Coturnix japonica: one gene and its partners. The protein of the gene in region 4 purifies or fractionates together with the protein of the main gene of each other region. This does not show direct contact. Links are inferred from orthologs where the notes say so. Each region holds a gene or a part of one and is shown on either strand. Other genes may lie near its edges. The genes, in order: SMURF2, BTRC, TRIM33 and SMAD4.

Region 1 (7,521 bases), on a different chromosome or scaffold from region 4:
TCCTTCCCCGAAGCCATTTGGATCTCTGCTTTTCTTGCCACTGTATACCATGACATACCCGGAACACAAATTTTATATCCAGATGAATAAAACTTTGTCATATAAGCTGATCTCATTGAAACACATTGTTGAGACTGCTCTGCTGTTTATCACAATCCTATGTTGTGTATCACAATCCACAACTGATTTATACGTATAGAAATATCCACAGCTATAAATGCTATACACATCTAAAGTATATGTCTATATATACACAAAAAACCACACTCAACACTTATGAAAACACAGAAGGCCATCAATCCCTATTCGATCTTACTACATACATGCCCATTGACTTTGTCATTACTGGAGCCATCTAATCATGCTACTACGTAATATATCAATTCCAATTTCTTAGGTACTAGTTTTCAGTAAGTCGTGTCATTAAGTCAAGTACATCTTCCTTGAAGGAACCCTATTGTTTTACTGTGGACTAAAGACCATCTAAATACAGGCTGCAGGTCCAAACTGCAGTTCTGCCCTCCCTTCAGTTTCTCCTTCTACAACCCTTCAACACACGAAAGCCTTTTTTCTTGCTCAGATTAGCCTTCCACTCATCACACAGTTAGCTACATAGTTGCTGGAAGCAACACCCGGTAGGGCCAAGTGGATCCAGAGACTACAAGGCCAGAAGAAACAACTCTGATACCATGTCAGTCAACCACAAAACCACGACCTTGATACTTCAGAATATAGGTAGGTACTTTATCCATCAAAACACAATAAAATCAACAAGAGAGGCAGAAGATGAAATGATGCCCCTTTTCTACAAAGATCCAATGCTTTTATTCCTAAATAAAATAAATATTTATTATTATTAGTTATCACCAAACTGCTAAGGAACCCAAAAGCCTTATGGTAAGAGGGAAAAACCCACCTGCAATGCCTCACCAACAAACACAGCCCACCTCATTCCCATATTATCTGTAATACTTGTTACCACCTTTTACAGTACGGTGTAAACGTGTTTTGTGACTATCAAAGCATCTTCACTTGTTAACTATTCCGACAGCAAGCACTAGCTGTAAGAGCAGAGATAGATTAAATTACGCATCAACCTTTATTCAGCTCACATCTGAGCAGCCGTGCAATTTTGAAGATTTCAAAGTGACTTAAAAATATCTGTTTGATACAGACAGAATTCACTCAGACAACCATTACTGTATGTCAGAGCAGTCAGATGTAGCTGCTCCAACACCAGGTAATTCACAGGTTGAGACCAAATATTTACTGCGCAACTGAAAGCAAAGTTAATTCCTCAGTCTGAAGAATATGAGATCAATGCAGTCTTTAACACTCAGGGTGGGAATGGTCGGGAGAACAGCGAATCTACAAATCCATAAATAAATAAAAACACAGAAAAAACTCACACTGAGTGTGGGAGAGGATGAGCGGATGACGACTACAAGCAGAAGAAGAACCTCTGAAGGAACATTTATAACACAGATGCACTGCAAACCAAATAAAAACTTACTAGAAGTATGCCACCGCTGTGGTTTCTCTCTGTTATGGAACCCAGACCTAAATAAACTGTTAAACACTTAGTGTAAAGGTATGCCAAACATTTCTCAGAACTTTCTTAAGGTCCCAACAAAGAATCAACCTTTTTTGCAAAATGAGGCCTAGGTTCAATATTTTATTTGGCTCCTCGGGATCGACTGAGAAGTTGGGCACTACTACAGATCAGCTCTTGGACTCACATCAAACATTACCCTGTCATTTATCCAGTCAGTCAAAACAATGTTTTCCATCTAAACCTTTAATGTTTATGTCCTGAAAAACTGCTAATTGAATCCAGTTCTTGAATCCATTTATTTTTTATTTTTTTCAATCTATAGTATCTAATTTAGAGATAACAAATAGGAAAGATAAGTGTTACACAATGTTTACAGAATTAATCCTATAAATATTCAAGCCAGAACAGAAGACTGCTGGCATCATAAAGCCAAAGAAAATTAAGGTTATATAGCATTTGCAAGCATGAAAATAAACTTTTTAAAACACTGGAATATACAGATTCCTTTAATTCCAAACAGTTCTAGAATTTGAGAGCTCTCAAACTGCTTTTCCAATCAAAAAGGGTCATCAAAGCCACAAAGTACACTTAGATCTATTCCTATGCAAGGACTGACACCGTGTCAGCTCAATTAATAAAATCCAATGTTTGTAACAACTTTTCTTAAGCATATAAAGCTTCCCTACAACCAACGACCGCATAAAAAACAACAGGCAGTTTGCTAAAGCACAAAATACCTCAAGTCTTTCTAACTTGAGAAATAGGTCAATATTTCATGTAAGCTTCCAAATAACAGAACCGGTTCTCAGCGCCTGCACAGAGATGCTAAAAGTGGAGCAGTCTCTCTCTAAAGGCGACTTTGCTTTGAATCCATTGCTCTGCAGCCACCCCTCCTAAAAAACAGGTAATGAAAAACTCAGAATCGTTCCTCAAGAACGTACCTGCTTCTTTTGGGAACCACTCGGTACATACAACCACTGCCTATTGCTCACAGCTACACTCCCCTTGACATATTTATGTTGTCAAAGACAGGATTAGAAGACGTACTTAATCCTTAATCAAAATAAAACACAACAGAATACAAAACCCAAAGGTGAAGCAGACAGCCGCCTGAACAGTATTTTCCAGGCTTTTACTAAAGGCTCCAGACTATTCGCAATGTTTCGAAGATAAGCAAGTCTGAGCACTCACAGCAAAGGGAAAAAAAGCATTAAAGTTTTGCATCAATAAAGCAGTAACCTGAAGAAAAAGCTCCCAAGCACTGTACAAACAGGCAGCACTGCTCCATGCATCGGTCCCAGCCACATTTAGCTCACAGATTTCATTTCTCACTGTATTATATAGGCATTCACACATCTCAATGAAAATTACATTATAAATTTAGTCCAAGGTACTTCCACAGCAAAACATACATTGCATCTCCTCTATAAAAACAGCACGCTTGCAAAAAATAAATATGAAAACATCTGTATTTATATGACATCAAACTGGAAATATTTCAGATGTGCCTATAGTTAATGTTCCAATTCCTTCAGGTTTTTGTTAAAACATATTTGTTTTGCAAGCTGGTTAAACCCACTATCTGCAAATAAGAGTATTTGAAGCAATGTATCTCCTGCTTTCTAACGGCTTACCTTCAAGCACTCACACTTTGGAACCCAAGATAGGATTTATCAGCTGGGGGAGGGCCTTACATCACTTTGGAGCAGCTCTGTCCTATTAACTTCGCTGTATTATTTATTTTTTTTTAAAGAGAGCTCCAGTGTTCCTTCTCTCGATCAATGTACCTGGTTCTCTCATGTAAAGGATCATAACACTTCAAGTGCTTGGAAATAGCGTATTTTCCTTCCCTGCACGCAGGTGAGCAGCTTTTTAATGCTATTTTAAAGCATTCGAGGTCAAGTGGTCTTCTGAGAGAAAGCTGCCCACACAAGGCACCGTGTCAAACCGACTGTGTACAACCTTCACTAAGGAAGTCGGCTCGGGGAAAATATATATATATATAAAGAAACAAACAAAGAGATGAAAACAAAGCGTGTGTCACTTTCTTTCAAGTTCACGCTGAGAAGGCGAAGGAAAAAAAGCGAAACCCAGCGGTGGGGGCGGCGGGACGGGGCTGAGGTGCCCGGTACCACACGGCTCCCGCTGGCGTTTTGTTCCCGAGGCGGGCGGCCCACGGGGAGCTGCCCTCACTGAGGGAGCGGACGGGAGGAGAGGGAAGAGTTCGCTGTCTGTATTTTGCCCCTTCTCCTCACGAGGCCTGAGAGCCGCCTCCAAGCCCAGGTTCAACCTCAAATACACATGGAGGAGCTCCCGCTCGCTCGCTCCCTCCCACCCTCCAGCTGGGCTCGCCGGGGCTCCCCGCCGCTCCAGGAACTCGCTCCCCCGTGGCCGCGGGTTTCCCCTCCCCTCCCCGCCGCGCCCCGTCCCGCACAGCCCCGCTGCTGCTCGCCCCGTGCCCGAGCGTTATTCAGCGTTATTCAGCGTTATTCAGCGTTATTCAGCGTTATGCAGCGTTGTTATACAGCGTTATGCAGGCCCGGCCGCAGTTCCCCGCCGCCGCGCTCAGCCTCACCTGTCAGCCGCAGCTTGACGGGCCCGTTCCTCCGAGCCCCTTGGTTGGACATGTCCCCGGCCGCGGCTCGGGCCCGGCGCTGCTTTGCCCGGGGCTCCCCCTGCCTCTGGGTCCGGGAAGGGAGACGGGGGGGGAGGGGACGCGCTAATGGAGTCGGCTCGGGCGCTCAGGGCAGCGGCGGCCGCCGGAGGAGGAGGAGAAGCCCGGATGTGCCCAGCGTCGCCATGAGTGGGGCCGGGGCCGAGGAGGAGGCGGAGGAGGAGACGCGGCCGCCTTCCTTTCCCTTCCCTTCCCTTCGCTTCCCCGCCCCCTAACCCGCAGCCCGGGCGGCGAGCACAACAAAGCCGGGACGGAGCAGCGAACGGCCGCCTCCCCTCCCCTGGGCAGGCCGGGCTCGGCTCTGCTCTGCTCTGTGCTCGGCTCTGCTCTGTGCTCGGCTCTGCTCTGCTCTGTGCTCCGTTGGAGGCCGAGGCCGAGTGCCCACCCCGAGTCCCGCTCCGTCCCGGGGCTGGGGCCGATGTGAGCGGGATGCCCCATGGGGGCTGCATCAGGTGGCGGCGAGACTGGGGGGAGTCGGGAGGAATTACCGAGGTGTGGAAGGAGGGAAGCCAGAGAAACGGGTGGGGGGACAAAGGTACACGTGAGAAGAAACAGCATAGGAATACATTTAAAGCCGGGCTAAACTGAATAGGTCTGCCATGCGGGAGTGCTTGCAATCTGGGGCAATATTTTGGGTGGATGGGGCACAGCAGACTTGCCATGGGAGCAATGAACTCTGAGCTGATGTGCTGCTTGTCTGTGCTGCTTAAAATGAGCAGCGCGGTTGTGCTAATTGCCAAAAAAAAAATAAAAATAAAAAAAAAAGGCCTCACATTCCCATTGTGAGGCCTAATTTAGCTCCATCCTGCAGGAAAGGTGACTCCTTCCACAGTCTGTCCAGCTCCTGCACATCTCCCATGAGGGAGGGGAGCGCAGGGCTCACATCAATGCCAAGCGGGCTCTGAAGGCCGGGAAAAGCTCCCGGAAAAGCTGTAAAGTTGCCACAGTAAAGTTTACCTTATAAGACTGAGCTAATAAACCACACACCTATTCGTACTAATAACCTTACTAATGCTCTGTATGTTCACATGCATCTCACTCAGTCGTGTCATTGCACTGACTTCTTCCTGCTGAGCCAACCTGTTAAGTATTACTATAAGGGCGGTCATAGATTAAGATCCAACCTGAGTACCAAGATCCAAACACGGGATGAAAAGATGACCAATGCTTTGCAGAGTTTGTAATGTAGCTTCTGCATAGCCCAGTGTTCACTTTCTGAAGCTGCATACAGCACAGAACTGAACTAGCATGTCCAGAGTTGGCTCATCTTGGCTGAGTTTGGGGCTTGGACCTCATTAAATCACATCTAGGAGCAGGAATTGATTTTGTCCCATTGAAGGCCTCACAAGTAGGATATGGCTCTCAAAGTTTTCCCCTTTAAAATGAAGCCAGGCTGGATGTGGCTCTGGGCAGCCTGTTCTGGTGGTTGGTGACCCTGCACACAGCAAGGGGGTTGAAACTGGATGAGCATTGTGGTCCTTTTCAACCCAGGCCATTCTATGGTTCTATGAAAGGGTCCCCCCCTGTATGCACAGACTCACGTCTCCATTGTCCCATAGCGTGTCTCAAGCACCAGATCCTTCCAGGTGCAAATTTTCTGTGCAGTGGCACTGCTGTTCCAATGTCCCTTCACCTGGGAACAAAGCAGTCCTTCCTCAGGCAGGGTTGTGTCTGTTTCCTTCAAAGCTGCCTGTTAAATACAGAGATAGCAAATGTTAGTAGAGAACCTTCTTTCAGACTGCTCAGCTTCCAATGAAAATACTGTGAAGTGCTGGAGCATCAGTTGGGAGCTCACACTTTTGTGTCGCTGTATAAAATGCACAATATTTATTACTGCCATGCACACACAAGGCAGTTCTGTTCAGTATGTATGTATCTAATAGAGTAAGAGAAGAGGGGGTTAGCATCTTGCAGGCATGATACTTGCCCCGTTTAGGTCAGGACTTCATCCTTGACTCGTGTGAGTACAAATGATCTCAATCAGGTTGCACTTGAATAGACAAATGCACCAGATGCAAAATGCTCTTCTCTTCCTTTCTGGCTTTGTATAAGCATTACAATGTCTGTAGCCTGGATGTTCTACAGATGCTTCTGCCCCACGGAATCTCACAATTTTCTGTAGGGAAATTAGAGTTTTTATTCATTGCTCCCCTTTGCTGAGTAGAATTGCCAAGCGGAATTTAAGACAAGCAGCTCAATGAAGGATCTGTGCAGGATCTGCAATGAGCAGAGGTCAGGAAGTCTCACAGAGAGCCAAGAGCTGCAGGGAATGCAGGATACCAAAAACACTGACAGTACCTGATGATTGAAAGTGCTACTTTTCCAACAGAAGAATTCCACATTACCGTTATGATCCAAATTGTTTCTTGTGCCAGTGCTATCCCCCAAGTTCTGAAAGCATTCAGAATAATGGAACAGAGATCTCACTGATCCTGCCTTTAAGCCAACAGCTTACAGTAAATTTTGAGTTTATGGAGTTCATTTTCAAGGGTGAGCAGAGGTTTCACACTTTACAGTGCTGATCTTGTGAGGTAAGCAAGTAAATATTATCATTAACTGCTGACAAGTGATCTGTATTTCACTCTAAGCCGATATCGCTGAGCCACAAATCCTTTCAAGATGAGGTAGCTAACTCAGATCCGGAGGGAAGGGAGTGTCTTGCATCACCCCACAGCTCACTTTTTGGATGACAGCTTGCTGCTGGACTCAGAAGGGAGTCCCATCCAGTCTTCTTCAGCCAGCAGTCAGCAGCTGAGACACAGTCTCAAGGGCTCTGTAGAAAGGGAGTGAGCTCAGGAATCTGTAGAGGACGCTGGGAGGATGAAATAATTTAGCAGTTGGTAATGTGTTAGTGAAACCTTTGAAGGAATATGTAGAAATACAAAAACAACTTTTGTTCTATGGCTTCACAGAAAAGGGCTTTGACACTTGAATTTCCCAATAGGAAGAAAAAAAAAAGGCTTTGCATTCAGAGATCTCAAGGGATTTGGTGGTTTTGGATACTGGAAAATATGAACAAATGTCTTTAACCAAATGCTCCTCATTTTCAGAACTGGATAGTCAATTTTTTGGAGGTGAGGCCCTCTGCATCTTTAAAAATGGAAGAATAGGCTGGAAACCCATTCCTCAGCCCGTGGCATGCATTCAAAGCGAATCAACATGTAAGAATTACATTCAGTTTTTTTCTGTATAGAGGTTTAATCACAGCACATTCCTTCAGCAGTAATGAGAGCTGGCTGCTGTTATACCACATTCTTCCTCAGCTTCTGTGATGATATCAAGAGAGGAGAAC
Region 2 (6,786 bases), on a different chromosome or scaffold from region 4:
TGCCTGGAAAGCTTCTGTGACACTCGTGTGGCTGCTGTTCCAGCTAACGGGAGGGACCTGGCACGCAGAGAGCATTTGTTATCTGTGCACTTTCCTCCTACTGTTTGAAAATTGAACACGAGCAGCGGGAGACTCACGATGTTCATTGTGCAGCCAGGTTTAATTTTGGAGGCCGAGAGAAGAGAGGGGGAAAAAAAAACCACCACAACTATGGGTAAGCGGGTATAAGGACGCCCTGTTGTCATAAACATGAAAAGCCCTAAAAGCACTACGACAGCCTCCTCTGCCCCTCCTCTTCTGGCCTCCTCCATCGCTATCAAACAGGGATTTATGAGTATCCATGTGTCGAGATTCCTACAGTGTTTCCATCCCACCGCTTCTGATTTATAATACAATTAGTTGGGGCACTTTGGCTGTCCACTGCTGGAAAATGCAGAGGAAATCGCACCAGTTAAATTAAGTCTACAGGTTACTAGGCACACATTTGTCTCGGGCTGGAGCAGAAACACCACTAATATCACACTGAAGTCTTGGACTCTCGGGATACGTGTTCATGGGCACAGAGCTGTTCCACAGTTTGCAGCTGGGTGGCTGATGACAAAAAGGTTTTCTGGATTTCAGCCATGAAACTATTTGTAGTTCTCTGTGGCTACCAAGGAGGTTTTTCAACACAGCATCTGCAGGCATCCAAGGCTCTCACTGACTCTTACTCTGCAGCTTATGGTACAAATATAGGATTGGAGAAGAGCTAGTGTGGCTTAATGACCTACTGCCTGTCAACCCTCAGAGCCTGTGCAAAATGTGAAGCAAAATACTTTAGTGAAATTTGGGTGGTAGATGAGGGTGCAGGTGAAAATGAAAAGGTTGTTTTTGTGTGTTTATTTTCCCCATCAGATTTTGGAATTTACCGCTTTTCTTTAAGAAACTCCCTGCCAACAGCTCATGGAAAAAGGCACAGTTAAGCAAAGCCACCAACACATGAATTCCAAGCACAAGTCTCAAAAATGACTTAGTTCTTAACTTCAAATCAAGAAGCCAGATCTCTAGAAATGACTTTTAGATCCTGCAGGCTGGTGCTAAACTGACTTGAATTTCCATGGCTCAAGACAGCCCTGAGCAAGAACACTTTCCTTCTCCCTTCACCACCCTTACCCAATGCTCTTACCACAAGGGTTCGTAAGCAGAGAGTCCCAGCTGGAGCACGGGGGTCCAAAGCAGCCACCAGATCCCATACCTTAATTTTCCTAGTAGTGAAAAAAATAGAGAAACACACATCTCTGTTAAAAAGGAAAGGTGAAGTGCTCACAGGAAAAGAGAACAAACAAAAAGCTGTTAGTGCAGCTGAGCTGATACAGCAGCTCAAGGAAAATTACAGGAATCCTGCTCCTGTAGTTCTTGCACTTCTCCTTCATAATGCTCATAGAACTTAAAGGGAGAAAGGAATACGCTGTTGGCAAAGTAAAACATAAAAAAAGCAGGCAATAGTAACTAACAGAAACATATGGGAGGGTTAATGCACGCTAGTCCTAGTGGCAAATGGATCAGAAGACAACCACAGAAGGGAAACACTGCTCTTACCAATGGCTGAGCTAGAAGATGTTTCACATCAAGTCTACCTGATATTTTTATGAGCTAAAGAAATGGACCACATGTATCAAATCACACTGACATTTTGAGAAGGAAGAAACAACAACAGGTGTATGTTGTAGAATCAGCCTGACTTACTGGCCATGACAGGAAACTCCTGGTATGACAGACAAGAAATCTAACTCTTATAAGGAAGATCCAGCAAAGTGGGATGTGAGACACTGAGAAAGACAGGAGGATGCAAGGCATTAGCCAGCCTCACCCATCATATGCTCCGCTGACTATCCTCTTGTTATCAAAGCGTATGCATCTCACCAGCTCTTCGTGGCCTTCCAGTACTCGCAAACATGCCCCACACTCGATATCCCACAGCCTGGAAGAGATCAGGAAGAAGCACTGAGAACTTCTGAATTTCTGATTATTTCAAGGAAACGTTTGGCCTTTGCTTGTAGTTAATGAAAACTAGGGGATAAAGTTTATGATGAAGCACCAAAGAACAAACAAACTATTCATCACTCCTTTTCCTGCAGTTCAACTAATGCATGTTTTTCAACAAGACTCTGTTATGTGACAGTATCACGTGGGGGATTATTCGGATACCCAAGCATTTTAAGATCAGCCATGCCCACCATCTACTTCGCTATTAACACAAGACACAGGATATCTCCCAGTTATCTTCATGAGCAGCCTGACTTTATTTTACTTAAGTCAGATTTTCATAAAAGTATCTCACTTTGATTTGAAGATGTTAAGTGAGAGACTCACCAGACCTCCTGGACCCTTACTCCAAAGGTAAAAGCACCTTCACAAGACACACACCCCTTCTATGCCCCTACACGCCCTATTTATGATTTGCAAACTAACATCAGACAAATTGTGCATACAGTGGTGAAAGGTACAAGAACTTACAAGCCCTTTATATTTGTCACTTTCTCCCACTGAAGGTGTATTCGCTCTGTAACGAAGGTAACTTATGCATAAGCTAAAATGGGCATTCTATGTGTATTTGTAATGCATTTTCTTCTTGTGCTCAAATGATTTTCTAAGAAGTAAGCCTATTTTTTTTTTTTTTGATACTTTTGTCAGCTCTTTGTGGGGATTCCCAATTAGAACAGATAAAGAGAAATAATTTGCTGACAAGAACTGAAATTCTTGACATGTACTGTTTGCAGGTGTTCCACCTCCAGATGACATGAACTTGGTTCACAACAAATGGAATCTTTCAATAGCAGTATCTGCTGAGGCTCTGACACACAGCTGAGAAAAAGCAGTCACAGATGTTCTTGAATGCTCGTTCAATTAGAGTTCAGACTGACAGGGACTTCATGGTAGTGAGGTTCATGGTTCACGGAATTTGTCTGGGTGACACCACGCAAAGAAGTACAGCTGCTATGGGGTCAGGTCACTTTTCCTTGAGAAACTGAGAGAGAGATAAATCGTCCCCACATACTTCAATCCCGAGGTCCCCCAGGGAATAATCCAGACCCAGTGGATGTGTGCCCGAGGATGGTGGGTAATCATTTCATCTGTCCTGCTACAACAAGCTGCTCTCACTACGGAAGACTGGGGAATGAACAGAACTCTTCTGTTCTATAACTGCACTGGGAAAGGGTTAGTTTATCACAGAGGTTGGAAAAGACCACCAAGATCACTGAGCCCAACCATCAACCCATCACCACCACGGCCACTAAACCATATCAATAGGTGTCACACATCTGAGGCCAAAGAGGAACAGAAGATGATTCCTCAGTCTGTGAAGCTGAGTGTTCATCAACCTGTGAAGACTCCAAAGGTTTTTGCATTAGCACCAACATACCAGTTAAGGTCAGAGAAAGCAAATCCATGCTAAAGTTCAGCCAAAGGCACTCTGGCTGGTCAGAGAGCATTACGTTTCCTGCCAAGGACTGCAAATGGGATGCACAATGCCAGAAATGAATTGGTGCAGAAAGGTCTGAAGAGCAATCCTGTGCCAGGAACTTTTGTGCCATGTGTTTCCACTCCTTGCCATCAATCCTGAGGTTGCCAGCAGCTTGGCAAGGCTGCTCCGCATTGAATTAGGCTTGTATTATCAGGTCCTAGTCTGAGGTTTTTAACTGAATTTGACTGTGATTTAGAAAAGACGATTGCAACCCTTAGCTCTGAGAGCAATGGGCTTCCACACACAAAAGGAGTAACTGTGTATGTAACTATGTAAGAACAGCATATCTAGAATTGGTTCTAAAGGAACCTCCCAGATTTGGTTATCTCCTCAAATTTCTACTTCTTTAAATAGTCAAAGGACCAAGCAGAAACAAAACAGAACTTAAATCATTTTTATACACGGAGTCTCTCTACAGGAGAAAGTTACTGATTTCTCGGCTACTTCCTTATCTTCACGGTTGAAGAATGAGTAATCACACAGTAATCACACACAGTCAGCTCCTTTTGCAAAAAAAAGTTTGCCTGTAACCGAGGAATGGCCAACTTCAAATTCAATACCAAGAGGCAATCCCTATTAAAGGCCAACACAACATCTGGTATTTTACAATGGATTAAAATCAAACATGCAAAACACCGAGCCACCCACGGAGAGGACTTAGTAACCTGCCCTTGCTTAATCACTCTTCCTCTGACATGTGCCTTCTGCTAATGGCTGGGAGGAAGCTACGTGAACAGGTAAACCTTGTGCCCTGCCCACACAGCTGCCAAATCTGACTTCCATTAAGATTCACTGCCAACATTCCTGAAATTCTAGCACAATTTATCTGTCAGTTAGGGATTTTGTCCAGTGTAAGCATAAAAGTCATCGCACTCCTCTTTAGCATTATCACTACATTGACATTTATTTTTATTAGTATTACGTCTATTTTAGATCCTTCCCTAAACGGTGCAGTATTTAACTATTTCTTACTCTGAGACCAAGTTTCATAGTACAGAAGCAGAGGGTTATTTTTTCCATCTGGAGTTTTTACTACATATATGGTGCTACTCTTACACAATGTCTATTAATAGTTTTTGCCTTGATAAAGAGACAGACACCCCAGCTCTTTAGCTCATGCTTTCAGGCAACCACACACTAAAACCCAGTGCAACAATCCAGTGATGACTGTCAAAGGACCTCCATTTTCCAGAGCGCAAAGCATGGAGAAGCACTGTTTTGCAAACAAAGTCCACAGACAAACATCTGCGTGAATCACTCTCACTGAGGAGAAATAAATTCTAACATCAAAAGTGAAGACTTTCTGCTTAGGCTGTCCAGGCTTCCAGTTTTATCAGAAGGAACACAATTCTTCAAAGCAGTGATCAATTCAAAATGGAGGCACCTCTTCCTCCTGCTTGAACGACAGAGCCGCTTCCCCACACAACTTACACTCCTATTCCAGCTTGCTGAGTACTCCCAGAGATAAGTGGGGCACCCCTCTGCCAGCAGCTGCTGGATGTAGGGAGAAATCCTGGCTCACGATACCAGAAGGAGTTAAATCTCAGATTGCAGCAAGGGCAGCTGGAGAAGTGCAAAAGGCAGCAAACTGAACTTCATGCTCTAAACCAGCTGTTCCAAACTTAACCCGGTGCCAAGTACCACAAGAAGAGCTTGGCCAGAGCCCAGGAGGATTTCTGCAGAGGATTAAATGCCTCTTACTGCAAATCTGACCCCTTTAACTAGACACATAGCCCAATTAAAATATCACAAGAGGACATCACAGAAAGTGTTACTTGCCAGCTCTTTCATACACCAGAATTGTCAGAGCAATGGAACTTGTTGATTAGTATGGGACTCCTGAGATACAGGGGATGAAAGACAACACAGTAAAACAGACTTCTAATATCTCTTCCCAGTAGTTCCCAATGTTCTCTACCAAAGGAAGCATATTTCAAGGAAGACAAGGGTACAGAGCACTTTGCTTGCCTAACCTCCATGCATCCCAGGGAATCAGAGACAACATGCTTGCAAAGAACTCTGCAACGGGGAATGTGTCTCTCACCTGATAGTATTATCTGAAGAGCCGCTCACTACTAGCCTGTCTCTGTACTGCAGACATGCAATGCCTCGTTTGTGGCCATTTAAGGTGCGCACAAATTCGCAGGTACTAGTGTTCCATACCTGTGACAGGAAAGGTGAAACCACACAGATAAAATTATTAAGAAGAGACTAACAAAAGATGGTATCTGTATGATACAGAGGTACACCTAGAATGTTCTTAATAGAACACACTTCCATAAGACCAGGAAAATCACCCCTCTGATGACTTGTGACTATAGCCTGAAAGTGTTCACAGCTTGGGACATAGCACACCGAAGGTTTTTGCCATACTGTACTAGAATCAGCTTCCAAAATCAGTCCTCAGCACTCCCAGGCTCTGTTTTAGTCTACACAGGAACTGGATTTTCCTCAGCTTTAATGCAGCAAATCAGGATCACAGCAGTAAAACTCAAGTGACTCCTACCCACTCACCTTTGCTTTTGCCTCCTCTGACAACCCTTTATGTGACCAATGCTGAAACAGATTGTGAAACCGGTCAAATTGAAAAAGAACACAGGGAAAAAAAGAGTCTTTTTTCAACTGCATCTGCACCTGGATCTGACTTGCCATACAGCTCTGTCAGCAAGTCACACAAGCTCAGCAGATGAGTGGAAATGAGCAGGAGGAATACTGCTTCTAAAGGAAGACAAGTGTAATGACAGCCAAAGACCATCTTTTCCCTGTCTGGTCATTGCTTTTTGTTAGTAAATACTCAGTGCTGCAAATAAAAAAACCTCTGAAATACCTCACCTTTATAGTTCTGTCACCTGATGCTGATACGATGTACTTGTCATCAAAGTCCACTACGTTGACAGCAGCGCGGTGCCCTACGAGTACCCTCCTCAGGGTGATGTCTGTTGGTGAAGCCATGTCCCACACAGCAATGGAACGGTCTTTGGAACACGTCACCATCATGCCGTTATTGAAGCGGAGGTGCAGTACTGCTTCGCAGTGGTGAATCAGTGTGTTCAGCATCTCGCCGGCGTTCACATCCCACACCCTGCAGGTTCAGATATCAAACCAGACAGGTGAGAGTTAAAAACACTTACAGTAGTTTTTCTGCAGAGGGAGGAAGGGATGGGGAGAGGTAATTAACTCTCTAGCAATATTAGAGAAGAAAATGCCACAAGTTATAGCTAAATCTAATACATATTTCATTAAAAGATACGTTATATAAACCTATTGATTATGCATATAAA
Region 3 (7,450 bases), on a different chromosome or scaffold from region 4:
TAATAGATGAAATCAAGATAGACTGAACTTCTCAAGCTTTTACACTGTCAGAAACTTACAGATCTTCTAAATTATCACTCCAAAATCTTTATAAACTCATTAAGTCATGCCCAACTGAAGTGGTAAATGCAGAGCTAACATTCTTATGGGTCATAAAATTACTTAAGTCCCAGCTAAGCTAGAGAACTTTTCCACTTAAACACAAAGATACTGTTGAAAACACTTCTGGATTTACTAAAAAGGTGTTGTAAAGCTTTTTTGAGCTTGGCACAGAGGAAAGCAGCTTCTGGAAGGTACAGCAGGTAAAGCTTAAAACAAGTAAACGCATCGTAGTCCCCAAAATTTCTGAAGGTTGTTACGACATGCAAGTTATGGTAAAGAAAAAGAGCTCATGAATTGAAAGCTGACACAGCTATGTCCCTGCCATATGGACTTGCCATCAGACTCCACCTTCATAAAGTACATTACTGGAACAGTCATTTCGGGGCACCCCCCACTCAGTGTACATGGGGTTATATTATCACCCTGATGGCCACAGCAGTCCTAATGAAAAACATTACCAATCCTCTGCAGAGTCCTCTCATCTGACTTAACATTAATTGGTAAGTGCTTACTAGGGTTAATGCATTTAAAGTCAAATAATCTTAAAAGTCTACTTGATATAGCAAGCAAAACAAGATCATTGTCCACAGGAACTAAGCTTAGCAGTAATAGTTTTTAACCACTAATAAGATTTTGCCAAAACCAATGGCAGAAAGCAATGCAGCGTCACTACTCTGCAATAGCGCAACAGAGCAATCATGAAGATTTTAACTTATTTTAGATGGAAAAAAACAGCAAATCTGAACCTAACCCCTTTATACAGGGAGAGTTATATCTACCTGCTCTGGGAATGCTTGCCCCATTACTTCAGTAGACTGCAAACAACACTGTCAATCAGTAGCTGAGTAATTAACCTTTCCTAATGAAGCTGCATGTTTAAATTGCACATTCACAATGCACATTCATTTTTGCTAACCAGGAAATAAAACCTAAGAATGAATTCAAATTCCAATTGACTCAGCAACATCAACGCAGCTGTAAGACTATACTGAGCATGACTGTAAGCTTATCTGTATACACAGGCAGGACTAAACGATATCCAAACACTCACCTGACGATACATCCTCTTTTTTTCTAATCATGTGATCTTTAGTAAATTTCACTCGCTGATGAGCTTCTATGCAGGTCTTGCACAACCACTCCCCACACTCGACACAAAACCCAACAGCACTAGCATTATCTTCACAGCTTGTGCACACCTGCAAAGGGAAGAAAGGTCAGCTGCCATCACTTTCCTGGAAAGCATTAACATACACAGGGAAAAGAAACCAGCATGGGAATCCCAGCAAGCAGAAAAGCACCGTACCTGTTCTGATTTCTCATCAGAGCTGCTTGGTGTTTCTGATGTGTCTTTTACAAAGTAGTTATCCACCAGATCTATCTGCCTGCATTCTTGGCGGCATATCGGACATCTGATTACCCCAACTGAAAAACACAAAACGTTTCTTAGTTATAGGAAAAACAAACACAAAATCCTCGTGCTCATTTCAGCCATCGCCAACGCAGCCCACAGCGTTCTTTTAGTTTCCCCAGGTCTGCAACATGGGGAGTAAAAAAGCACCCCAAGGTAAAACAGACACAGAAGTCAGTCAGAAAGGGTATGACTGGAGTGAACTGAGGAGGAAAAGCAACCTCATTCTGCAGCAAATCACAATGCAAACAGAAAATGTTGTTAACATACAGCTGACAGCAAACAGGGAAGCTGCCCTTCTTGGCCAGGCCTGCACTGAGCACCAGGCCCAGCGTGACACCTGTGGGCCTCAGCAACCCACGTGCTGCCATCATCCTTGAGGACATTGACTGTAAAGAAACTGCTTAAGTTTTTCCTGTTGATTTTTATGACCTCAATTAGAGGCAGCCCCAAACTCCACCAAACCACCCAGGAGCAATCCAACTTCCTCACCCCTCAATGCTGTTAGAGCGAACCCCATTTCAGACACCTGTCCTTAAAGACAGGTTGGTTTGGGCTGAAACACGTCAGACTGGTTTCCAAAACAGAAGCATTAAGTTAATAATGAGTAAGTTCAAAACCCTTTCAGATGTTTGCATGGCCATAACGACGATAAAACTCCACAGCTCAGGAAATATTGGCAAGCACTTGTGCAACCCAGCAACTCCAACTTCCCTTCTGTGCTCACCCTTGGCACGTAGCAGCCCGCAGAGCAATGAACGCCTGCCATGTTCAGGGGCTGACAGCATCCATAGCAGTGACTGCAGGTACAAAGCACCCACTTCTATTGGGAATTTAAGTGCTCAAACACTTATTCCTAAAGATGCTGTAGTTATAAACTTTCCTTAGTGAAAACAATCACCATCCAGCTCAATTTAAGTGATAGTCACGTTTGTGTGGCTGTAACATCATTTTTATCTCCCCTCCCTTCCAAAGCTGATTAAAAATAGTTCCTGCATAATTTAAGATGTAATTTAATACAGTGTTTCCAAACCTTGGGTACAGGATTTGAATTCAGCATCTCAAAATAATTTATGTTTTTTCCTTGAGTTACACATCTATACGCACTGATCTTCGGTTTTCTTGGCCTTTCTGAAAGCATCTTGTAGCTCTTTTTTAGGCTTCCACCCTAATAAAGGCTGTCTATGTTGTGATGTTCATAAGGGGTTGGAGAACCACACATTCTCTCTACTGACCTCATCTTATGAGAGCATAAACAACAACCTCAGCAAAGCAGTGAGCCCTCGTAATAACCACTGTGTGCAGGTAAAGCAGCAGCTCTGGATGGGTAAGAAAGTAATCCTACAGCCCCACTGTGAAGTCTCTAACTTAAAAATAAGGGGTTTTAATACTGTGATTTAAAAATACAACAAGAGCATTTTCTTATGGGCTTCTATTCAACCTAAGGGTACAGCTGGACAGATGAAACTTCAGGCATTGAGAAATCACCTTCCCACCAAATGAAATGCACAAACCAATGACCTAAAACTGCTGGTACCCAACCCACACTCAAGCAGCTTTCACAGTTATTAGCCAATAAATACACATATTGATAACTTATAAGTGCTTATGGATAAAAATCTGATACTAATTAAGAAAACAACTCGATAGGAAACTATCAAAAGAATCAGTAATTTTCCATTGCAATTGTGATTTGCTTATGTAGGCACAGAAAAATAGCAGGAAAATGTGGATGCTTGCAGAGTAGCACAGCACAGAGATGGCCTTTGGTTGCCCATAACCCACTACAGGAATAGCCACACATATTATTCTCCAATAATTCCTTCATGAAGCATCTGCTCACAGCTCAGGATACTACAGATGTGTGTCATTGCTCTTTAGTGACCCGCTGCACTAACACACACAGCTCCAGCAGCAGGGATCCTGCACACACACCTCACTAGTGACATCTGTAAGGTCCTGAGCAACAGATGAATCCTTATCTCAGCCCAGCACACCATCAAGCACTCTGACAATGTGGGTGACAAGAATTGAGATTCCAGGTTAGCAGTAACTCTGTGGTTTGGCTGGACCCGCACCCCAGCAGATATAGTCACACAGTGCTGCTGATTACTGGTACAATTAGCCTAACTTCATGAGCATCTCCCGGTACACGCCATGTAAAACACAAAGTCTGGATGTAACAAGAAAGATCCCAAGCTCAGAGTGCTTCAGTTGGTGTGTTTAGAAACTACCATGGGAGATTCGTGCTTGAGGAAGCGATGCTCGGACCCATGGTCGGTTTGCAGCAGTCAGCACGGCCGGCAGAACCAGCACGGCCGGGAAATTCCTTGTGGGCCGTGTGACGACACATCAAAACGATACAGAGAGGAGCCCTCCCAAAGCCAAACAGGTGTCACCGAGCACAGTCCTGCCGGCCACGGGCTGAGTCCAACCTCCTTCCATAGCGCAGAATGTACCCGCGTGTCCCACCCCCGGACGGCTCAACACCCGGCAGCACCACGGCCCTAACGCTGCAGCCCTGGAAGCCAAAACAAGCAGCACGACGCCATCCACACCGCCATCCCCAGCGAGCACATGGACGTGCGAGCTCCGGCTTCACGTGGAACGGCGACACGAGAGAGCGGCTGCCACAGCCGGGAAGCAGAGCCCGGGGGATGGCGGCACCGCAATGCCGGCGGTCACGGACACAGCCCCGGCAGGAGACACGGCACAGCCCGGTATCGCGCCCGCCGCCCCGCTCACCTTGCTGCACGTCGCCGTTGGCTCCGCCGGGTACGGGCACGCTGAGCTGCCGCTCGGGCTCGGGCAGACAGCGGCGGCAGAAGGAGTGCAGGCACGGCAGCAGTTTGGGCTCGGCCTCGCGCCGGCTCTGCAGGCTCTGCGCGCACACGGCGCAGGTGTCCAGCAGCGAGAACGGCCCCGGAGCCGCCGGAGTCAGCGGGGGAACCGGGCTGGGGCCCGGCCCAGGAACCACCCCGGGCCCCGCCTCGGCCTCGGCCTCCCCGAGCCCACGCTCCGCCGCCGGTGCCGCTCCGGGGCTCTCCCGCTCCTCCGGAGGCGCCGCGGATGGCGCTGGCGGCGCCGCAGCCGAAGGGGACGCGGCCGCGGGCTCAATGGAGCCGGCTCCGCCCGGCCCGGGCTCGGCCGCCCCCTCCCCGCCGCCGCCGCCTCCTTTGTTTTCCGCCATGTTTCCTCCTTTGAACCCAACTCCCCGCTCCGCTCACGCACTGCGTCACCACGCGACGTGCGCGCTCCACGGCGGGAGGGCGGGGCGGGGGCGCGCGCAGGCGTGGACAGACGAGACGTGACGTCACGTGACGCACCGCCGGATAGAGCGCCGCCCACACCTCTCAAACGCAATTACCGACCGGCCGCGAGCGCCCCCACGCGGGTGGAGGCCGCAGCCACAAGTCGCAGCGCTGCTGATAAGCTGCTGATAAGCCCGGCGCTGAACAGCCCTTATCAGCCAGGAGGGGAGATAAGCAGCCTTTATTGGGCAAAGCAGTTTATTACAGCGCCGTAGGAAACGTACAAACACGGAGTTCAGGAGGGAGCAGCGTTCAGAAGTCCTGCTGGATGTTCTCCTTGTTGGCCTCCCCGTGCTGCTGTTTGATCTGGGATATCTCGTTCTCCAGCTGTACAATGGTCCGTTCAATCTCGTAGTTCTTACTGACAAGGGACACCCAGCTGCAAGGGAATGATTCATAGAGCATTAAGGTGTTTGCCATAACAAAGCACAACACCAACATCAGCCCCAACACAGCTCAGCTGACAGCAGGAGCAACCTGAACAAGGTTACAAGATGCTTCCAACTATTAAACCTCAATGTATAATGCAGGAAATGAAACGTTGTAAGGAAAAAAGGGCTAAAAACCATCAACACGGAGCTGAACCATGCACCCTCTAAAGCACCCTGTGCAAACCAATAGCAGCCGTGTGATGGTTTGCTATGACAGCACTGTTCCCCGTAAGGGGGTGTTAGAATAAATCCCAGCTACTCACGTGGATTCCATCTCTCGTAGCTTCGCTCCTGCTGTCAGCTGCATGTTCTTTCGTTGCCAGTTCAGATCCTGAATGCTTTTCCTGAGGGGAAAAAAACAACATGAAGAGACCTGTGTTGGTCTTGTCCTCCTTCATCTCATTTACTCATGAATGCAGTTTGAAATTGGCTGCCCTGGAAGCTCCTACCCCAAAGTAGGAGTTTCTATATCCCTTCCAACCTCTGTATAGAGCTATGAAAAACCACTCACCGCAACCTCTGAAGCTCCTTCTGGGCTTGTTCTATCATATGAACCAGGTGTCTGAGAGCAGAATGGAAGCAAAGCAAGAGAAAAAACACACAGTTACTAAATAAGATCAATTTAACCAGCCTCACATATAACCCTCCTAGAAGAGCCCAGCATGCAGCCATCCACTAAAGGCAAGCAGCTGTCTGAAACAGCCCCAGAGCTTCTCAAAGCCACACTTCCATGTGTTTCTTAGCCATTTCAACAGTGGCTTCAGGTGAGGAGGATCAGGACAGCATTATCTGCAGCCACCACACCACCATTTCCCATGCTGTCTCTCCATCCCCAGCCTTACTCATTGTACACCTTCCAGGCGTTGCAGCCGTGCTGGGACATCAGCTCCAGGTTCTCAATGCGCACTGCCTGGTGCTCCAGCTGCGCCATGGAGTTGTTAACACACTCCTGCCACGCCGTGATGTCGTTCTTCTGCCCGGAGGATGGAGCCGGTAGTTCATACCTGGAACGGAGCACGGTTCGGATCCCACCCAGAGCCAGACCAGGAGCCCCCCCTCACTCACCTCTTCATGCTGAGCAGCTCCAGGGGCTGCCGGGCCGCCAGGCGCTCAAACTCGTTCCGCATGATCTCGGTCTGCAGGGAGAGGGCAATAAGGGGCCGTGAGTGTCAATGAGGGGTTGTGAGGGGCCGTGAGGGGCCGTGAGGGGCACTGAGGGGCAATGAGGGGCACTGAGGGGCAATGAGGGGCACTGAGGGGCACTGAGGGGCACTGAGGGTCAATGAGGGTCAATGAGGGGCAATGAGGGGCACTGAGGGGCGGCTGGCCGTGTTGGCTCACCTCGAAGGCGCTGCAGTCGTGTGCCGGCAGGTAGCTCAGGTAGTTCTTCGTGGGCCGGTAGCGCCGCGTCTCCTCCTCCACCAGAGCCGCAGCCTAGCCGGGATCGCACCGCCTCAGCTCAGCTCAGCCCAGCCCAACCCGGCTCGGCCCGACCCGGCCCGCACTCACCGCCTCCCGCACGCCCGGCGCCTCGTATCCCTGATCGAAGTACGGCAGCGCATCCACCACCACGTCCCCCGCCACCAGCCCGGGCCCCGCCATGATGGTTACCACTACCGCGCATGCGCACACCCCAGGCCTAGACTCACGGCGCGGCCCCGCCCTCATCCCGCCCCGCCCACAGAGGAGAGGACACGCTGATTGGTTGCGGCACTGCGGCGTGTTATGGCGGCACGGAGCCGCCTCAGCTGCACAGGGAGCAATGAGTCCGGCCCCGGGATGGGGTTGGTTGTCCAACCGCCTCATTGAGGCTCCACGTTCATTTCTTCTGGAGAAATCTCATCTTACTTCCTACAGAAAAGAAAAACAACAAGAAAAAAAGCACGTTAAGCCTTCGAGACGCATCATTTGGACGCTGAATGACAGTTTCACACATAAAACCACAGAACAGCCTGGGTTAAAAAGGTTAAAAAGGTTAAAAAGGGCCACAATGCATCTAGTTCTAACTCCCTGCTATATGCAGGGTCACCTACCAGCAGCCCAGGCTGCCCAGAGCCACATCCAGCCTGGCCTTGAATGCCTGCAGGGATGGGGCTCCCACAGCCTCCTTGGAGAGGCAAAGGAAAGCAGCATGTGTGCACAAAGCGAAATACTGCAGGGAAATAAGCTAAATAAATGAGGTGTCTCTTTACCGA
Region 4 (7,545 bases):
CTTACGCAATTTGCGTAACTCCTCCCCATTGACTCCTATACACCCTTACGCAAACTACGTAACTCCCCCTACGCAAATTGCGCAACTCCCATTATGGAGCCCCCCGCCCTTACGCAAACTGCGTAACTCCTCCCATTGGCCCCATAGTCCCTTACGCAAATTGCGTAACTTCCCTTACGCAAACTCCGTATCTCCCCCATTATTTCCTATGGCCTCCCTTACGCAATTTACGTATCTCCCTCCCCATTAACCACCATAGTCCCTTACGTAAACTGCGTAACTCCCCCCATTATTTCCTATGGCCTCCCTTACGCAAATTACGTAATTTTACTCACCGATCCCAGGCGACACCACCCTCTCGTAATGATACGGGTTGACACACACACTATCGCACTTCAAATCAAACGCGTACTGACAATACTTGACGTGCTTCAACCCCATAGGACCCCATAGAACTCAATAGGACCCCATAGAAACCCATAGGAATCAATAGGACCCTATAGGATCTAATAGGACCCCATAGAACTCAATAGGACCCCATAGAACTCAATAGGACTCCATAGAACTCAATAGGACCCTATAGAACTCAATAGGACCCCATAGGACCCCATAGAAACCAATAGGACCCCATAGAACTCAATAGGACCCCATAGGATCCCATAGGACCCCATAGAACTCAATAGGACCCCATAGGAATCAATAGGACCCCAATAGGACCCCATAGGACCCCATAGAACCCCATAGACCCCAATAGGACCCCATAGAACTCAATAGGACCCCAATAAGAACCTAATAGGACCCCATAGGACCCCATAGAGCTCAATAGGACCCAATAGGACCCTATAGAACCCAATAGGACCCCATAGAAACCAACAGGACCCCATAGAACTCACTAGGACCCCATAGGACTCTATAGGACCCCATAGGATCTAATAGGATCCCATAGAACTCAATAGGACCCTATAGGATCTAATAGGACCCCATAGAACTCAATAGGACCCCAATAGGACCCCATAGGACCCCAATAAGAACCTAATAGGACCCCATAGACCCCATAGGACCCCAATAAGACCCTAATAGGACCCCATAGAACCCCATAGGATCCCAATAGGACCCCATAGAGCCCCATAGAACTCAATAGGACCCCATAGAACTCAATAGGACCCCATAGGACCCATTATAAACCCCGTAGTCCCTTACGCAAATTGCGTAACCTGAGCCCTCCCTTACGCAAACTCCGTATCTCCTCCCATTATAAAGCCCTACTCACTTACGCAATTTACGTAACTCCCCCCATTGGCTCCATAGTCCCTTACGCAAACTACGTACCACACTTACGCAATTTGCGTAACTCCCCCCATTATTTCCTATGGCCTCCCTTACGCAATTTACGTATCTCCCCCCATTTAACCACCCTCCCAACCTCCATTTACGCCAATTGCGTATCTCAATACTCACCGATCCCAGGCGACACCACCCTCTCGTAATGATACGGGTTGACACACACACTGTCACACTTGAGATCAAACGCGTACTGACAATACTTGACGTGCTTCAACGCCATAGGATCCAATGGGACCCCATAGACCCCATAGGAATCAATAGAACTCAATAGGACCCCATAGGATCCTATAGGACCCAATAGGACACCATAGGATCCAATAGGACTCTATAGGACCCAATAGGAACCAATGGGGCTCCATAGGAATCAATAGGACCCCATAGAACTCAATAGGACCCCATAGAAACCAATAGGACTCCATAGAACTCAATAGGACCCCATAGGAATCAATAGGACCCCATAGGATCTAATAGGATCCCATAGGATCCAATAGGACCCCATAGGATTCAATAGGACCCCATAGAACTCAATAGGACCCCATAGGATCTAATAGGACCCCAATAGGACCCCATAGGATCTAATGGGACCCCATAGAACTCAATAGGACCCAATAGGACCCCATAGGATCCCAATAGGACCCTATAGGACCCCATAGACCCCATAAGACCCCATAGGACCCCATAGAACTCAATAGGATCCCATAGGAACCAATAGGACCCCATAGGACCCCATAGGATCCCAATAACACCCTAATAGGACCCCATAGAACTCAATAGGACCCCATAGAACCCAATAGGACCCCATAGGATCCCAATACGACCCCATAGGACCCCATAGACCCCATAGGACCCCATAGGATCTAATAGGACCCCATAGGATCTAATAGGACCCCATAGACCCCATAAGACCTCATTGGACCCCATAGGAACCCATAGAACCCAATAGGACCCATTATAAACCCCGTAGTCCCTTACGCAAATTGCGTAACTCCTCCCCATTATAAACCCCTATTCCCTTACGTCAATTGCGTAACCCGACTCCCACTTACGCAAGCTCCGTATCTCCCCCCCATTATAACTACCGCACTCCCTTACGCAAATTGCGTAACCTGAGCCCTCACTTACGCAAATTGCGTAACTCCCCCCATTCTTTCCTATGGCCTCCCTTACGCAATTTACGTATCTCCCCCCATTAAATCATAGGACCCTATAGAACTCAATAGGACCCCATAGGACCCTATAGGACCCCAATACGACCCGATAGGACCCCATAGGACCCCAATACGACCCCATAGGACCCCATAGGACCCCATAGGACCCCATAGAATCCCATAGGATCCAATGGGACCCCAATGATACGGGTTGACACACACACTGTCACACTTGAGATCGAACGCGTACTGACAATACTTGACGTGCTTCAACCCCATAGACCCCATAGGACCCCATAGGATGCAATGGGACTCCATAGGACCCCATAGAAATCAATAGGACCCCATAGAAACCAATAGGACTCCATAGAACTCAATAGGACCCCATAGGAATCAATAGGACCCCATAGGATCTAATAGGATCCCAATACGACTCAATAGGACCCTATAGGACCCCATAGAACTCAATAGGACCCTATAGGATCTAATAGGACCCCAATAGGAACCCCATAGACCCCAATAGGACCCTATAGGAACCCAATGGGAATCAATAGGACCCCATAGAGCCCCATAGGACCCCATAGAGCCCCATAGGACCCCATAGGATCTAATAGGACTCCATAGAACTCAATAGGACCCCAATAGGACCCCATAGGAACCCATAGAACTCAATAGGACCCTATAGGATCTAATAGGACCCCATACACCCCAATAAGACCCCATAGAAACCAATAGGACCCCATAGGAATCAATAGGACCCCATAGGAATCAATAGGACCCCATAGAAACCAATAGGACCCCATAGAACTCAATAGGACCCCATAGAACCCCATAGAACCCCATAGGACCCCATAGGACCCCACAGACTCCATAAGACCCCAATAGGACACCATAGGACCCTATAGGACCCCATAGGATCTAATAGGACCCCATAGGACCCCATAGGACCCCATAGACCCCAATAGAACCCCAATAGGACCCCATAGGCCCTAATAGGACCCCATAGAGCCCCATAGAACCCAATAGGACCCCATAGAACTCAATAGGACCCCATAGAACTCAATAGGACCCCATAGAACTCAATAGGACTCCATAGAAGCCCCTTACGCAGTTTGCGTAACTCCCCCCCCATTAACCACCATAGTCCCTTACGCAAACTACGTAACTTCCCTTACGCAACCTCCGTAACTCCCATTATCGAACCCCCCGCCCTTACGCAAACTGCGTAACTCCTCCCATTGGCTCCCTAGTCCCTTACGCAAATTGCGTAACTTCCCCTACGCAAACTCCGTATCTCCCCCATTATTTCCTATGGCCTCCCTTACACAAATTGCGTATCTCCCCCCATTATATCATAGGACCCTGTAGGACCCCATAGGACCCCAATACGACCCCATAGACCCCAATAGGAACCCATAGGACCCAATAGGACCCCATAGACCCCATAGGACCCCATAGGACCCCAATAGGACCCCATAGGACCCCATAGGACCCCATTGTACTCACCGATCCCAGGCGACACCACCCTCTCGTAATGATACGGGTTGACACACACACTGTCACACTTGAGATCAAACGCGTACTGACAATACTTGACGTGCTTCAACTCATTCTTATGCAGGTCGGGCCACCTCCATAACCTCGCATAGATCACATGGGGGAACCCTTTCCTCCCAGCCACCTGCAGCCTCCCGTCTAATGTACGTTGTATAGTCACGCATTTACTCGGGTGAGCCCCGTTGGTCGTAATGGCGGCGATGAGAGAATCCAGCTCGTCTTTCTTCTCCTTCAGCTTCTTAACGAGGCTCTCGATGGCTCGTTTGGCGAAGGTCTCGCTCTCTCCTCCCTGTCTGTGGCACATTAAGCTGTGCACGATGCTCAGACACGCGTCGTTGCTGCTGGGGGGGGTGGAGATGGACATGGCGGACACCGGGAACGATGGAGAGCCCGATGGAGGCCGCTAAGATGGAGGGACGCAGCACATCCGGGTACTTAGGGGGGGTTCCGGGTTGGGAAGCCGCAGTACATCCGGGGATTTGGGAGGGACTTCCGGGTTTGAGTTACATCCGGGGATTTGGAGGGACTTCCGGGTTTGAGGGACATACGGGTACTTAGAGGGACTTCCGGGTTTGAGTTACATCCGGGGACTTCCGGGTTTGGGAACCCGCAGTACATCCGGGGATCTGGGAGGGACTTCCGGGTTTGAGTTACATCCGGGCATTTGGGAGGGACTTCTGCATCCGGGAACTTAGAGGGACTTCCGGGTTTGAGTTACATACGGGTATTTAGAGGGGGCTTTCGGGTTGGGAACCCGCAGTACATCCGGGGATTTGGGAGGGACTTCCGGGTTTGAGTTACATCCGGGGACTTAGAGGGGACTTCCGGGTTGGGAAGCCGCAGTACATCCGGGAACTTGCAGGGACTTCCGGGTTTGAGGGACATCCGGGGACTTACAAGGGACTTCCGGGTTTGAGGGACTTCCGGGTTTGAGTTACATCCGGGGACTTGGAGGGGCTTCCGGGTTTGAGTTACATCCGGGGACTTAGAAGGGACTTCCGGGTTGGACGCCCGCAGTACATCCGGGGACTTAGAGGGGACTTCCGGGTTTGAGTTACATACGGGTACTTAGAGGGGACTTTCGGGTTGGGAGCCCGCAGTACATCCGGGGATCTGGGAGGGACTTCAGGGTTTGAGTTACATCCGGGGACTTACAAGGGACTTCTGGGTTTGAGGGACTTCCGGGTTTGAGTTACATCCGGGGACTTCCGGGTTGGGAACCCGCAGTACATCCGGGGATCTGGGAGGGACTTCCGGGTTTGAGTTACATACGGGTACTTAGAGGGGACTTCCGGGTTTGGGAGTGAGCATGAGTTACATACGGGGATTTAGAGGGGACTTCCGGGTTTGGGAACCCGCAGTACATCCGGGGACTTGCAGGGACTTCCGGGTTTGAGGGACATCCGGGGACTTGGAGGGACTTCCGGGTTTGAGTTACATCCGGGGACTTCCGGGTTGGGAACCCGCAGTACATCCGGGGATCTGGGAGGGACCTCCGGGTTTGAGTGACATCCGGGGACTTGGAGGGACTTCCGGGTTTGAGTTACATCCGGGGACTTCCGGGTTGGGAACCCGCAGTACATCCGGGGATTTGGAGGGACTTCCGGGTTTGAGTTACATACGGGTATCTGGAAGGCACTTCCGGGTTTGGAGGTGCGCATGCGCAACATCCGGGCACTCGCGGCGCGGCCTTAAGAGCCGCCTCCATGTTGCGTGCGCACAACGGGGAGCGGCCTAAGCTACATCCGGGTCTTGAGGCGTCGTGGACACACGGTAAGACGTGACGTCATCAACCGGGAAGGGCCAAGATGGCGGACGGGCTTTGTCCGGTGTTTCTAGGCCTTAAAATGACGGAATAATGCGAAAGAACTAGTGCGCATGCGCGACACGCGGGTCTTCGCGGCGCCGCCATTTTGTTGCTTGTCACTTCCGGGTTGGGGGAACATCCGGGTCTTCGCGGCGCCGCCATTTTGTTGCTGTCACTTCCGGTTTGAGGGAACATCCGGGGATTTGGGGCGTCAATGTGGTTCGGGGTGAAAAAAACGAGTCGGGCGGGCGGGTTTTTTTTTTCGTTATTTTTTTTTATTGGTTTATTTTTTTGGTTGTCGTCGCCGCCCGCACGGGAATTAAAAGGGGGCTTAAAGGGGGGTAATAAGACCGGAAGTGGGGTATAAACCCGGAAGTAAGGTCAAACTGACCGGAAGTGGGGTTGAGAACCCGGAAGTGGTTGAGGAAGGGCGGAAGTAGTGCAAATCGAACCGGAAGTGGGGTGAAAAGGCCGGAAGTGGGGCTGGAGTGTTGGCAAAACCGGAAGTGGGGTTTAGAACCCGGAAGTGGGGGTCAGAACCCGGAAGTGGGGGGGTTTAAAGCCGGAAGTAGGCCCAAAGAAGCCGGAAGTAGTGCAATTAAACCCGGAAGTAGGGGGAGAAACCCGGAAGTGGGGCAGAAATACCGGAAATAGTGGTAAAAAACCCGGAAGTGGGGTAATAAACCCGGAAGTGGAGTGTAAATACCCGGAAATAGGGCAATAAACCCGGAAGTAGGGAAAAAATACCCGGATGTGGGGGTGGAACCCGGAAGTAGGGCCTAGAACCCGGAAGTAGGGCCTAAAAACCCGGAAGTGGGGGGAAACAGGAAGTGGGGGAAACAGGAAGTGGGGGAAACCGGATGTGAGGCCTAAAACCGGAAGTGAGACCTAAAACCCGGAAGTGAGGCCTAAAACAGGAAGTGAGGCCTATAAACAGGAAGTGAGGCCTAAAACCCGGAAGTGAGGCCTAAAACCCGGAAGTGAGGCCTAAAAACCCGGAAGTAGGCCTCAAACTAGGCCTGACCCTATAACCAGACCCGACCCTATAACCCGACCCTATAACCAGACCCTATAACCAGACCTGACCCTATAACCAGACCCTATAACCAGACCCTATAACCAGACCCTATAACCCGACCCTATAACCAGACCCTATAACCAGACCCGACCCTATAACTGGACCCGACCCTATAACCAGACCTGACCCTATAACCCGACCCTATAACCAGACCCGACCCTATAACCAACGGTGGTTTATCTATGTTCATATAGATCTTTAGATATCATAACCAGGACCCTTAACACTAGACACCATATTTAACCAGTACCACGCCCAAAACTATCAACAACAACGACGCTATAACAGAACCCTATATACCCAGACGCATATAACATGACCTATACACCCGACCACATAACAGACCCTATCAACAACGAAACACTATAGGCACCCGACCCTAATTACAACGACCCTATAACCCGACATACAATAACCAACCTATAACAGACCCTATAACCCGACACATATAGACCCGACCCATCCCAACCAGACCCTATCAAACCAAGACCACACACTATAGACCGACCGACCCTATTAACACCGACCCTAATAACCAGACCCTAAACCAGGAACCCTTCATAGATCCGACAACTTACAACAACGACGGAATACCACCAGACCTATACGAG

The links.
Region 1: the proteins of SMAD4 (region 4) and SMURF2 purify together in Homo sapiens (affinity purification with western blotting; 3 studies listed by BioGRID). This does not show direct contact. The link is inferred for Coturnix japonica from reciprocal best matches to the Homo sapiens genes SMAD4 and SMURF2.
Region 2: the proteins of SMAD4 (region 4) and BTRC purify together in Homo sapiens (affinity purification with western blotting; 7 studies listed by BioGRID and IntAct, with this or other methods). This does not show direct contact. The link is inferred for Coturnix japonica from reciprocal best matches to the Homo sapiens genes SMAD4 and BTRC.
Region 3: the proteins of SMAD4 (region 4) and TRIM33 purify together in Homo sapiens (affinity purification with western blotting; 7 studies listed by BioGRID and IntAct, with this or other methods). This does not show direct contact. The link is inferred for Coturnix japonica from reciprocal best matches to the Homo sapiens genes SMAD4 and TRIM33.

The regions. Positions count from the first base shown.
Region 1 is NC_029533.1:7,184,761-7,192,281, reverse strand, and holds the start of SMURF2 (E3 ubiquitin-protein ligase SMURF2), read right to left. Parts: upstream 4,512-7,521; 5' UTR 4,183-4,511; coding exon 4,131-4,182; intron 1-4,130. UniProt on the Homo sapiens protein: E3 ubiquitin-protein ligase which accepts ubiquitin from an E2 ubiquitin-conjugating enzyme in the form of a thioester and then directly transfers the ubiquitin to targeted substrates.
Region 2 is NC_029521.1:19,979,124-19,985,909, forward strand, and holds part of BTRC (F-box/WD repeat-containing protein 1A), read right to left. Parts: intron 6,588-6,786; coding exon 6,338-6,587; intron 5,669-6,337; coding exon 5,550-5,668; intron 1,961-5,549; coding exon 1,850-1,960; intron 1,245-1,849; coding exon 1,166-1,244; intron 1-1,165. UniProt on the Homo sapiens protein: Substrate recognition component of a SCF (SKP1-CUL1-F-box protein) E3 ubiquitin-protein ligase complex which mediates the ubiquitination and subsequent proteasomal degradation of target proteins. Recognizes and binds to phosphorylated target proteins.
Region 3 is NC_029541.1:3,873,074-3,880,523, forward strand, and holds the start of TRIM33 (E3 ubiquitin-protein ligase TRIM33), read right to left. Parts: upstream 4,720-7,450; 5' UTR 4,704-4,719; coding exon 4,259-4,703; intron 1,528-4,258; coding exon 1,409-1,527; intron 1,302-1,408; coding exon 1,154-1,301; intron 1-1,153. Other genes in the region: BCAS2 (pre-mRNA-splicing factor SPF27), read right to left, coding at 5,077-5,203, 5,519-5,599, 5,767-5,817, 6,098-6,259, 6,321-6,391, 6,597-6,689, 6,765-6,857; DENND2C (DENN domain-containing protein 2C), read right to left, coding at 7,075-7,106, 7,448-7,450. UniProt on the Homo sapiens protein: Acts as an E3 ubiquitin-protein ligase. Promotes SMAD4 ubiquitination, nuclear exclusion and degradation via the ubiquitin proteasome pathway. According to PubMed:16751102, does not promote a decrease in the level of endogenous SMAD4.
Region 4 is NW_015439872.1:55,910-63,454, reverse strand, and holds the start of SMAD4 (mothers against decapentaplegic homolog 4), read right to left. Parts: upstream 4,452-7,545; 5' UTR 4,414-4,451; coding exon 3,999-4,413; intron 1-3,998. UniProt on the Homo sapiens protein: In muscle physiology, plays a central role in the balance between atrophy and hypertrophy. When recruited by MSTN, promotes atrophy response via phosphorylated SMAD2/4.